2 linked regions of the Drosophila melanogaster genome follow. The protein of the gene in region 1 interacts with the protein of each later gene in a pairwise test. Each region holds a gene or a part of one and is shown on either strand. Other genes may lie near its edges.

Region 1 (4,916 bases):
TGAATTAACATAGTTTCTTGTTATAATAATGTTACTTTTAACTCGCTCTCTATTTATAGGTATTATGTAAATTATAAAGTTGAAATGAATATGTGTGTTTTGTTAATTTATTTGCTAAAGTTGCCTAGGTGCAATCCATCTGTTTGCTGTTGAAATACCTTTTATGATTGTCCTTATCGTTATCATAAGTATGCAATGATACGAGAACCAACTGCGATTACCAATTACTAATGTCACCAAGAGATAGCATAGGGTAACATATTGTATATTCAGTGTGGTAAAAATAATGAACTTTCTAAACCGTTTTCTATAATCAGATGTATTACCAATAAATACAATAGACCAGAAAACAACAAAAAGTGAGGTCAACAATTTTTATTGAATGCAATGCCAGTGCTGTGGAATTCTTCACAATTCAAGGAGTCATGGATAAAGATAGTATGTACAATAACAAAAGCAGTGTGCTAACCGTCCAGTCAATTTGCTTTCCAGAAATCCGACTATTCCGATAATTCCGATTTATCCGATTATTTCGATTTATTTGCTTTCGCGCTCCTCCAATTGCTGCATCTCCTTTTCATTTTGCAACATTTTCTGTTTGTTCTTTTGCCGAAAGATTTCCTTGCTGGCTTCTTTGATGGCCTCGAAGATTTTGGCCTGCGACATGATTTGCTTTTGAACATTTTCCACAGCTGGCTCGGCATTGATATCGATCAAATCACTTAGACCTTCGGATAAATACTCATTGTTATAGGGTTTCTCTTCGACTTCGTTGCGTTTGAATAGCGAGAATGGCGGATACGAGGGATACGTACGCTTTCGTCCACAGCCTGTAAATCGTCCGGATTGTAATGGATATTATTATATATTGTATTAAAATTACCTGTAAATGCATTGCAAAACGGTCGCTTCTCGTACTTCCATTGTATAACGCCACTTAGCTTGTGCTGCAAATAAGACGATAAATTATATTTATATCAAAACTAATCAGGTAACAACTATTTAATTAGGTATGTAAATGAACGTTAAACAATGCGTCGCGTTATCAACTTAGATTATAACTCCGCTTAACTAATTTAACGAATTTCACAATTTACTTCCACTTTCTGTTGGGTCTTAATGAAATAGTTAATCCATTGATAACTCACATTTGCCATATTGGTGCCCTCGTTGTTCTCCCTTTCCAGCGAAGCCTGAGAGCAAATGGCACAAGCCAGGAGTGCAAGCAGCCTCAGGGAAATCCTCATGGACGTTCTCATTGCAGGAGTGTGTTTTTTTTAATAAGGATCCACTTAGCAACCGACGCGCTTAACACTCGAAAGCCAAATGAAAGTGGCCGCAGCTTGGGCCTTGGTCAACATCTCGGCTACGCAATGTGAGACTTGTTGCTTTCAGAAGGCGACAGGACCACCAGCTGGGCCTGGAATGTATTTTGGTTGCCACTTAATGGCTTTTTGTGTTTTTCCCGACCTTTCCCAGCCGGGTCGCCCCCGCACATTAACATTGCATTGACGTGTGAAGGATGGTCCTTGCCCTTGCCGAGTGTAATAAAAACCACTGCAAATTCAATTTGAAACGCAACTTGGGCAGGCTTAAAGTGGGCGAAAATCCCCCGCAATTGTCACTAATTTCGTTCAGTGCAGCTGCATTGGCCATAATTCGCTCGCGAGCGAACTGAGGCGTTTGTATCTATTTATAAAGACCCGATCCGATCGGATATATCCGAAAGAACACACTCACAGATCGCTCCTACGCGCTTGAGTGTGCATTTTCCGAAACTTTTCCTCACACTTCCACTAGACTTTTCCGAACAAACAGAGGCAATTTCGAGGCGACTCTCTGCCAAAACGGTTCGCGTGCTACTCGAATCTCTGGAATTCAATGAAAAGTTCTACAAAAGTTGCATGATCTGGAAAATAAATAACCATATATTCATTTTCGGAATTTTGAATAAACAACTGATACCATTTGTGCCCTAGTTGATTTTTAAATTGTGATTTCTTCGCGACTTTCCCACGATTTGGTGTCGAAAGTGTAGGAATTTCTGTGTCACTTCTACTAAAATAGCATGTGAGTAATTTGGAAATCTATAAATTATGCATATTAATTGGGAATATCTCAACATTTTATTTGATTATAATTACCAATTTCTGTCGGTTGAGGCCGGAAAAAAGTCGTTTATATCACATTGCATGCAATTTCGTGTTGCCAGTTGAGAATCTTCTGTACCTTGTTTTTGTCTACGTAAAGTAAAAAACTAAAAATACCACGGCTATTTTGAGTTTTCCTCAGTTTTACTGTCACACTTCGGTTTGACAACTTTTCCCCTACCCAATGGTGTCGCCGGCAACCGCTTTTCTTTTTTTTCCTTTTCATTTCCCAGCGCTTCTCTGCTGTTAATTAAGTTAAATGCTTTTCCGCCTTTTTTGTTTATATGAAACATCAAATTCCTCACATATTTCTACTGCCGAAATTGTAAACATTTCAGCACGCCTGATTGGCAATTTGTGCTGAAAATTACAACATTATCGCAGGCGGATCGTAAAAAATAATATCGAATAAAAAGTGAAAATCCTTTGCAATTTAATGGCTCTTGCGCAGCGAAAGTTTGTTGTGGTCCCATGCGAATGCATGTTCATTTAATTTTGACTATACAATTTATTTTATTATTATAATTTCCTCATGCGGCTATTAATAGACCAGAGATGTCAGAGCCCGCAGCCCAACAACAGCAGTCCCAGAACGGCAAGGAGCGCTCCAAGTCCACGGAGGAGAAGGAAGTACCACGCGAACCGGCGCTGGTCCTCAAAGACATCGATGTAAGTCCAAAGACTAGGAAGCTGTATCCAAGTACCAAAAAAAAAACCAACAAAAATGTTTTCTTATATACACAATTACAAACTGGCTGATTTGTTTGTAAACAATTAGATGCACTTTTGAAAATTGCAGTAAATCTGTGACTTATATTATCTAATGCCGAATCATCGCTAAATGCATCATATATCTTATCCTTTCCACTTCCACTTCCCACAGATAAAGACTGAGCTAGAGAGCCTAGTGAAACTGCTCGATGGCAAGATCTACAAGGAGGAGGAAGTGGCCATGGAGGAGCTGCATCAGTATCTGATCGAGGACGATGGCTCCTGGGCGCTGGGCGACAACTTTCTGATCTTCGTGCAGCGCGTCCTGCGTGACAATCAGGCCTTCTCGCCGGACACACGGATACACCTGATCCGCACGCTGGCCTATGCGGCGCTCAAAGATGATGTGATCATCATTCTGCACCAGGATCGAAGGGATCACACACTGATGAACTACGCCCAGGACATTGACAAGCAGACGCCCGAGGAGCAGCAGGCCTGGGCCATGTTTGTAGGTCCCGCAATGGGAGAATGAATATATAAGTTTGCTATATATTCAATATGTTTCAGATGTGCAATCTCTTTGAGAACCTGGGTCCCTCCGAATGGCTGTTGTACATTTCGGAGTGGGAATACAATGGTCAGACCATCTCCAACATACGAGTGACCACCAAGGTGGCCGTCCACTGCATCCTCTCCAATTGCCCGCAGCTGAAAAATATTGGCAGCATGATCCTGTACAACATTGCTATTAAGGAAGTGAAGACTGTGGTATGTGGTATGCAAAGTATTGGAAAATATCGTAGATACAAGATATATATCTGCAGGTATTCGACGATATCGCCGTGGAGCTGGCCATGGCCATTCTTCAGTTCTTCCAGAGCAGTCCCAACGAAGACCAAATCTTCCGCACCCTGAGGGCCCTCGTTCGATTCCTCGAGGTAGTGACCTATATTCGGGGTAGCCCAAATTGACAGCTGTCAAATATTCGAATATTTTGCTATTTTTCAGGTCTCGCAAGACGTACCGATGATCATTCAAATGATTGGACCGCATCCAAAACAATTCGCCGGCAAGAGCGAGCGCGTGGATGAGCTGATAAAGATCATTAGTCGCAAGGTGCCCGCCTAAAGGGAGATTTCCACATAAGAGAATAACCATAACCATAGTTACCCTTTTTCTAATATATATTATAATATATTCTAGACCCTCACTTTTGTAAAGCATTTTAGCGGCTCAATAAACATTTGTACCCCCTGACGAGGTCATCTACATGCCAATATCGCCGCAGCAAAGTTTCAGGAACGGAAATCCATTGCCTCCACTGGCTCTCAGTTGCAGCCAGTGTTTCTGATTGGAGACGAACATCTCCGAAGGCAGCTGTGTGTCCTGGGCAGAGGCATCCTCTACAAGGAGACCAGAAAAACATAGGATCCACATAGATATTCAAACACAACTTACGCGCCTTTTTGTCGTATTTCGGCGACTGGGTGATGGAGATCACATCCTCTGGCTTTCGAAGCAATATCTTGCCCACACCCTTGCACATGCGCAGCACCTCGTGGTTGCTCAGCTTATCCAGCTGCTCCTCATCCAACAGACTGCAGGCCAGAATCCACTCACGCACATCGTCGAAATCGTTGAGCAACCGAACCGCTCCGTTTACACTGAAGCGAATGCGCTTCTGGTAGATAAAGTCCAGCCAGGCCTCACAAATCAGCTTCAGGATCAGCTTGAGTATGACAATGTCCTTGGTGGCACGTATGGTGGGCAGATAGATCTCGTCCAGCACATAGCCCACATAGAGGCTCTTCTCATCGTTGTTGTAAACCTCGCGTTGCCAGAAACTGGCGGCCGGAAAACAGAGCGTAAAGTTGGCCAGGCTGAGGACTCGGCAAACTGCGGAAAGTATCTGAACACACTCGTCGGTGGTTTTCTGGAGGATTAGGAATTAGTATCGTCTCACTACTAGCATGCGAATAAGTCACCTTTAGCTTGTCTATATTGGCGTTGACCTCGGCGATGAGTTTGGTGCGCAGGGCAACGCAAACTAGC
Region 2 (5,229 bases), 7.3 Mb from region 1:
CTCAGACTGCGCACCAGGCAGCCTCTTCGGAGGTCCGATGGAACCAACCAAGCCACCCAAAACTGGGTTGCGGCCTGGCTATGCTTTACACTCTATTAACCCACATTCTGGCCAAAGTCGTTGCGGCCATCGGAGTAAATTAAATGGAAAATTCCCATTCACTCGGAACTGAGGCACGTTATCTAACAGGGAGAAAGCAGGGAATTGGGAAGGTAACCTCTGCCAGCACAGTATCTTTATTTCCGCACAACGTGCCGTATGCGTAATATCATTTACAACTGCAAGGCGACTGTCTAGTGAAATATACAAAAAGTCGTAATTAAAACAATATTCGTTGACTATTCGTGGTTGGAAAAAAACGCCACAAAGAAATGAAACGAAATATTCCTGCCAACTTTGTTGGCCCCAAACTTCGACAAACTAATTTAAAAACTTTGTTGCGTTTTTGGTTTTTGGCGCGCAGCAACTTTGATTTACTTTGAAATGAAGTGCCCAGAAAACCAAGAAAAAAAAGCGGGAGAACAAAAGTTGCAACTGCAAAATGGCAATTTCCACCTTGTGTGTTGACAGACAAGTTTGCAAAGAAAGGCAATTAATTAGCATCCGGAATCGGTTGCCTTGGCAAACTCACGAAAAATGCAAAAAGTTGGCCATACCAAGCTAATATTTACATATTCTCCAGCAAAGGTCGGTGAAAGTTTTAAAGCACCATTGTCTGCTCTTCGATGCCCTAATGAGCTGTCGTTCAATTAATTGAATGCTCACACACTTGGGCCATAACAATCAAGTGCTTCTAATTGCAGCAATTATAGCCGACGAAGGCAGGGGCCAACAGCCATTGCCAACAATTACATGCATAAATAGTCGACAATGTGCTCGAGAATATGACGAGTGGCAAGTCCTAAAAATAACACTGCGAGCAGAAACTTTTTAAAGTCGAGCAATTACAATTACAATTACATTTAAGATGTTGGGAAAAGTTCATTATCCTGCTGCTGGCATGACCTCAATCGCAGAGCCAAGGAAAAAAGCGAACCAGAACACGAGCACAAAAACTATCTTGCCTATTTATAACAAGCTGCTCACACACAGGCACACACACAGACCCACGAATTTCGTCGCTTCTGGCGCTGAAATACTATAGAAAAAAACCATAGCACAGTTATGGGGTGGAAAACCAAACCGCCAAACCGGGAAATGGGAAGTGGTTCGGAGAGAAGCAGGGGGATCCCCGCCTGTGGACATCTCATGGTCGCAGTTTGGCTGGCAGCCCAGCATATAAATTATTGAATGATTGCCATCTGTCAAAATTGGCCAAACTCAACGATTAATCCTGCTCGGAAAAATCCAATAAAATCATAATGGCTTTTCTTTTCAAGCCGTTCTTTATATTTTTCAACACGGGGGATCTTTCTGTTGGCTTAAAGGAAAATTCAATTGAATAGTTGCACATTTGAGTTCTTCATGTATTAAATACATATGCAACATGTTAATTTAAATTTGGCCAATTATGTTTTAATTCATCTACAGAAAAAACTACATATTTATAGAAGGAAGCTATGAAGACTTTCTTTTCATAATAAGCCCGTCTAGGTTGTGATAATGTTGTATTAAGTATCCGCAACGTGTACCAGGCCATCGACGCGTGACTTTCGATCATTGCAGTGGAAACTGAGTACAGTGGGCTATAAATATATACGAAATACGTGAAAGCATTCAATCGGTGGAAAGTGCTGTTACGGGTATTAAAACACCGCTCCAGAGAAGGTAACGGTAACCGCATGCACGCTGTAGATACCTTTAGTGTACATATATATGTATGCATATGTACATGCATACGTACATACACACGAACGTGTGTGGTGGGTGTACACTGTATGTAGTATGTGTGTTACGCACGCAGCAGCAAACAACTTTAACATTGTTGTTGCGCAGGCTGTGGGACAAGTGTGAAGTGAAAACCGCCCCCAGAGTGCGAACCCAAAAAGTGGGACTTTTCTGCTGCTGCTGCTGCTGGTGCTGCTGGAAGCTTATGAATATGAAACGCTCACACACACATGCTGCTCCTGCCGTTGTGGCACTTGCAGTGGTATTGGTGCTGCTCCAGTTTCGTTGGCCATTTACATCTACTTTACTTACATGCCTCTCGCTCTTTTCGCTTTCTCTGTATGTGTGTGGCGGGTGTATGCGTGAGTGTGTGTGGGTGCGCGCTTTTTTGTGCCAAAATGTAGCTGAACTCTGCTTTTAGCCAATTTCTCCGATTTTATTTAGGCATTTTTCTATAATTTCGGTTTCATTCACCATTTCGCCTGCCTCGGTTTTACAGTGATTACCCGCATTTGCATATTGTATATGCATCAGCATGTGGGCGAGTATGTATATGTATATGTTTGGATATATGTATGCATGTGAGTGTGTGTGGGAGAGTGTAGTTTTACGCTGGCTGCTCTTTTTCGTATTTTTTTTTTTTTTTTGCCTTTATCGATATGCTTACACTTTTACTTTTCACTGTCCCACCATTTTCCCGGAATCATTATATCTTTCACTGGATTTTTTAACTGCACTCGCGGCGAGCTTTTTCACGTTATTGGCGAGAAAATGAAATTTTCACGCAGCAGCGGTGCTGTTGGGCAAACATTTGGTGTACAGCGAAATTTTTCGTGAGCTCGCTCGCTCGCATAACAGCTCTTTTTTTCAGCTTGCGCAAAATAAGTATTTACCACGCGATTTTGACACTTTTTGCTTAAACTGCGGTTTTCGTTTTCGGAAGCACAGGATTTTATCCTTTCTTTTTGGGTTAACTTTTTGTAATATTTTGTATTCGGGGGCTTTTGAACGGGTTGCGAACCTTTTTTGCTGCTTGTGCTTCTGCTTCTTGCTTGCTGCTGCTGCTGCTTTTTCAGGTCGCCTGTTTTCCTCTTCCACGTTTGCGCTGGGAAATTCACATAAATGCATATAGTTTACACTAGGCTACGTAGGCTGTACATAATATATCCGAAAAACGCGATCGTTTCACTGCTACTATATAGAAAAAAACTCCGCCTAGTTGTCCACTTTCTGTGGGTAGTAGCAGTTGGGTCTCAGTGCGAATACCGAAAAGTGGGTCATCTCGGTCGCGCTGCTGGCGCACTCTGATTTCTACCCAACTGCCAGCTCGGTGCTCAGTGTGCCAGAGCAGAGTGGCCCAGAGAACCCAGAGCCGAGCACTCAGTACCCAGTGCCCACTATTCAGTGTGCGGGGAATCGATTTTTCTGCCAAATGACACTGAAAAACGGGCAATTCTCTCCCGCTCTCAGAAGGACTCCTTTGGGGTTGCAACTGGGTAAATTTCTGCTCAGGGCCTGTTATTGGGGGTTTACTATTACTTTTGGCTGTTATCCGTTAACAGCGCTGTCCTCTGTTAACGACATGTGCGTGTAAATCTGAGATTTTGATTTCAGTTTACCAATCTCTGATTTTCGAAATCAATTCTCGGGTAATATAAAACAATTATTTCCACATCATACCACACCTAATACTATAAATTATAAAGTAATTTTACGTAAATTGGTTAAATATGAAACACTCTTTTCAATTTTGGAATATAAATACATTTATTTGTCGTTTTCTTTTCGCTATGTCTACATTATGAGTTTGTTGCCGTTCTTTTACTTTTGCTTAGTGTTCGATTTTCATATAACATTTTATTAATTAAAATAATTTTTTCTCCATCCTGTTGATAGTGCTGTCGGCCACTAATGTCTTTCGCTTTCGCAGTTTTCAAATAGAACATATCATTAAGTAAAAGATTATTATGTATAGTGTTTAAATTTCAAACTCTAACAATTAAAAACAGTTAAAAATTTAAGTGTTCCGTTAATGTTTTTGTTTGTCATCTCCCCGTAGTACATACATTTCCTGTTTCTCGTTTTTTTTCCACTAATTTTAAATTTATTCGTAGGCGCTTCTCCTAAACAAAAACAAACTAGCCGATGTTGTTTGTTAACAGAAAAAGAATGAATTATTTACAATAAATTGTAAACGAAAAATAAACTCTCGCACACATCGTCCGTCTCCATAAATAGTTGCTCACTAGTTAATTACAATGCTTAGGCTTCGCAAAATTTTGTGTCCGAGTATGTGTAATACATATGTATATACGATATAAATTAGGCCTATTTATTTAGTTACAACAGATTTTCATTTACGTTCAAACATTTAACTTGGACTGCGTCGGGCGATTTTGTATTTAAGTGTGTTGAGTTTATTTGATTTGTTTCGGTCTTGGTATGTTAAATGGTTATTTAAACATAAAATTAAAATGCCACTAATTAATTAATTTGCCATAATTAAAGGATTTAATTCTCTACTCGCATTTACTCTTAACTGTCAGCATTATTTGATTCGTTTGCCGTATTAGAAAAAGTGCACTTATGAATACTGCATTCGGTCTGAAAATAGATAAAATAAAAGAGAATCGGTTAGAAAATCCTTGCTGAAGCAATTTGAATTAGTAATGCAATTTGGCCCCAATTTCATGAAAAGGTCAGCGGTAATAGCCATTAGTACGTAATCGAAGCAATTTACAATTTAAAATGGGCGGGGGTCCGGCTTAATATCCGCCCCTCAGAATCTCCGGCGCAAAATGATAAACCAAACAATACCCGGAATGCCAATGGAATGACATCATCTCAACGGTTGGCCCGAAACGATAAGAAACCAGATATGAGCCGATTTAAAGAAACCGGCTGTCATGGCGTCGCAGCGTATCGTTTGATAACACATATAGTAAATAATCACTGCAGGTGATTCTTAATACTTACTGTCCTTCTTTGAAGTACTCCTTCAGCGTTGTGCTGAACTTCTTGGAATATTTGACGAACTCCTTCTTACGCTGCTCCACAGCCTGCTTGCCCGTTACGCCAGGTATAAACGAGCCGATCTCGTTGACCACATCGAGTAGTTTCTTTATGGCGCTGGCGATTTCCCTGTAAAACGCAGTAAAATTTCATTATTCATTAATCAGTTAAGCTTATGCAGTGAGTTTTAGCTTCATTTTGAGTTTTTACTTACTTGATGGTCTCCAGGAAGGTCTTCCTGTCGTTTATCTCATCGGGTATGCGGCTGAGGATCACCTTGAGAGCCACGGACTTACGATTGAGCTCCTGGAAGGGCTCCTCCGTGCGCGTCAAGCGGTATTCATTGACTGTGGAAGGGGGAAACTTCGTTAGCTACGAAACTCAGCTGCT

The links.
Region 2: the proteins of CG6972 (region 1) and Rbp interact in a two-hybrid assay, tested with the Drosophila melanogaster proteins (one large-scale study listed by BioGRID).

What each region holds. Positions count from the first base shown.
Region 1 is NT_033777.3:22,700,221-22,705,136, forward strand, and holds CG6972 (uncharacterized protein), read left to right. Parts: upstream 1-1,786; 5' UTR 1,787-2,070; intron 2,071-2,698; 5' UTR 2,699-2,705; coding exon 2,706-2,819; intron 2,820-3,033; coding exon 3,034-3,372; intron 3,373-3,431; coding exon 3,432-3,632; intron 3,633-3,688; coding exon 3,689-3,805; intron 3,806-3,872; coding exon 3,873-3,992; 3' UTR 3,993-4,118; downstream 4,119-4,916. Other genes in the region: CCAP (crustacean cardioactive peptide), read right to left, coding at 538-830, 884-947, 1,149-1,259; CG13842 (uncharacterized protein), read right to left, coding at 4,131-4,267, 4,323-4,797, 4,850-4,916.
Region 2 is NT_033777.3:15,372,588-15,377,816, reverse strand, and holds the start of Rbp (RIM-binding protein), read right to left. Parts: upstream 3,183-5,229; 5' UTR 2,956-3,182; coding exon 2,849-2,955; exon of another isoform or gene 2,140-2,848; intron 1-2,139. Other genes in the region: Ccm3 (cerebral cavernous malformation 3), read right to left, coding at 4,347-4,431, 4,804-4,968, 5,054-5,186.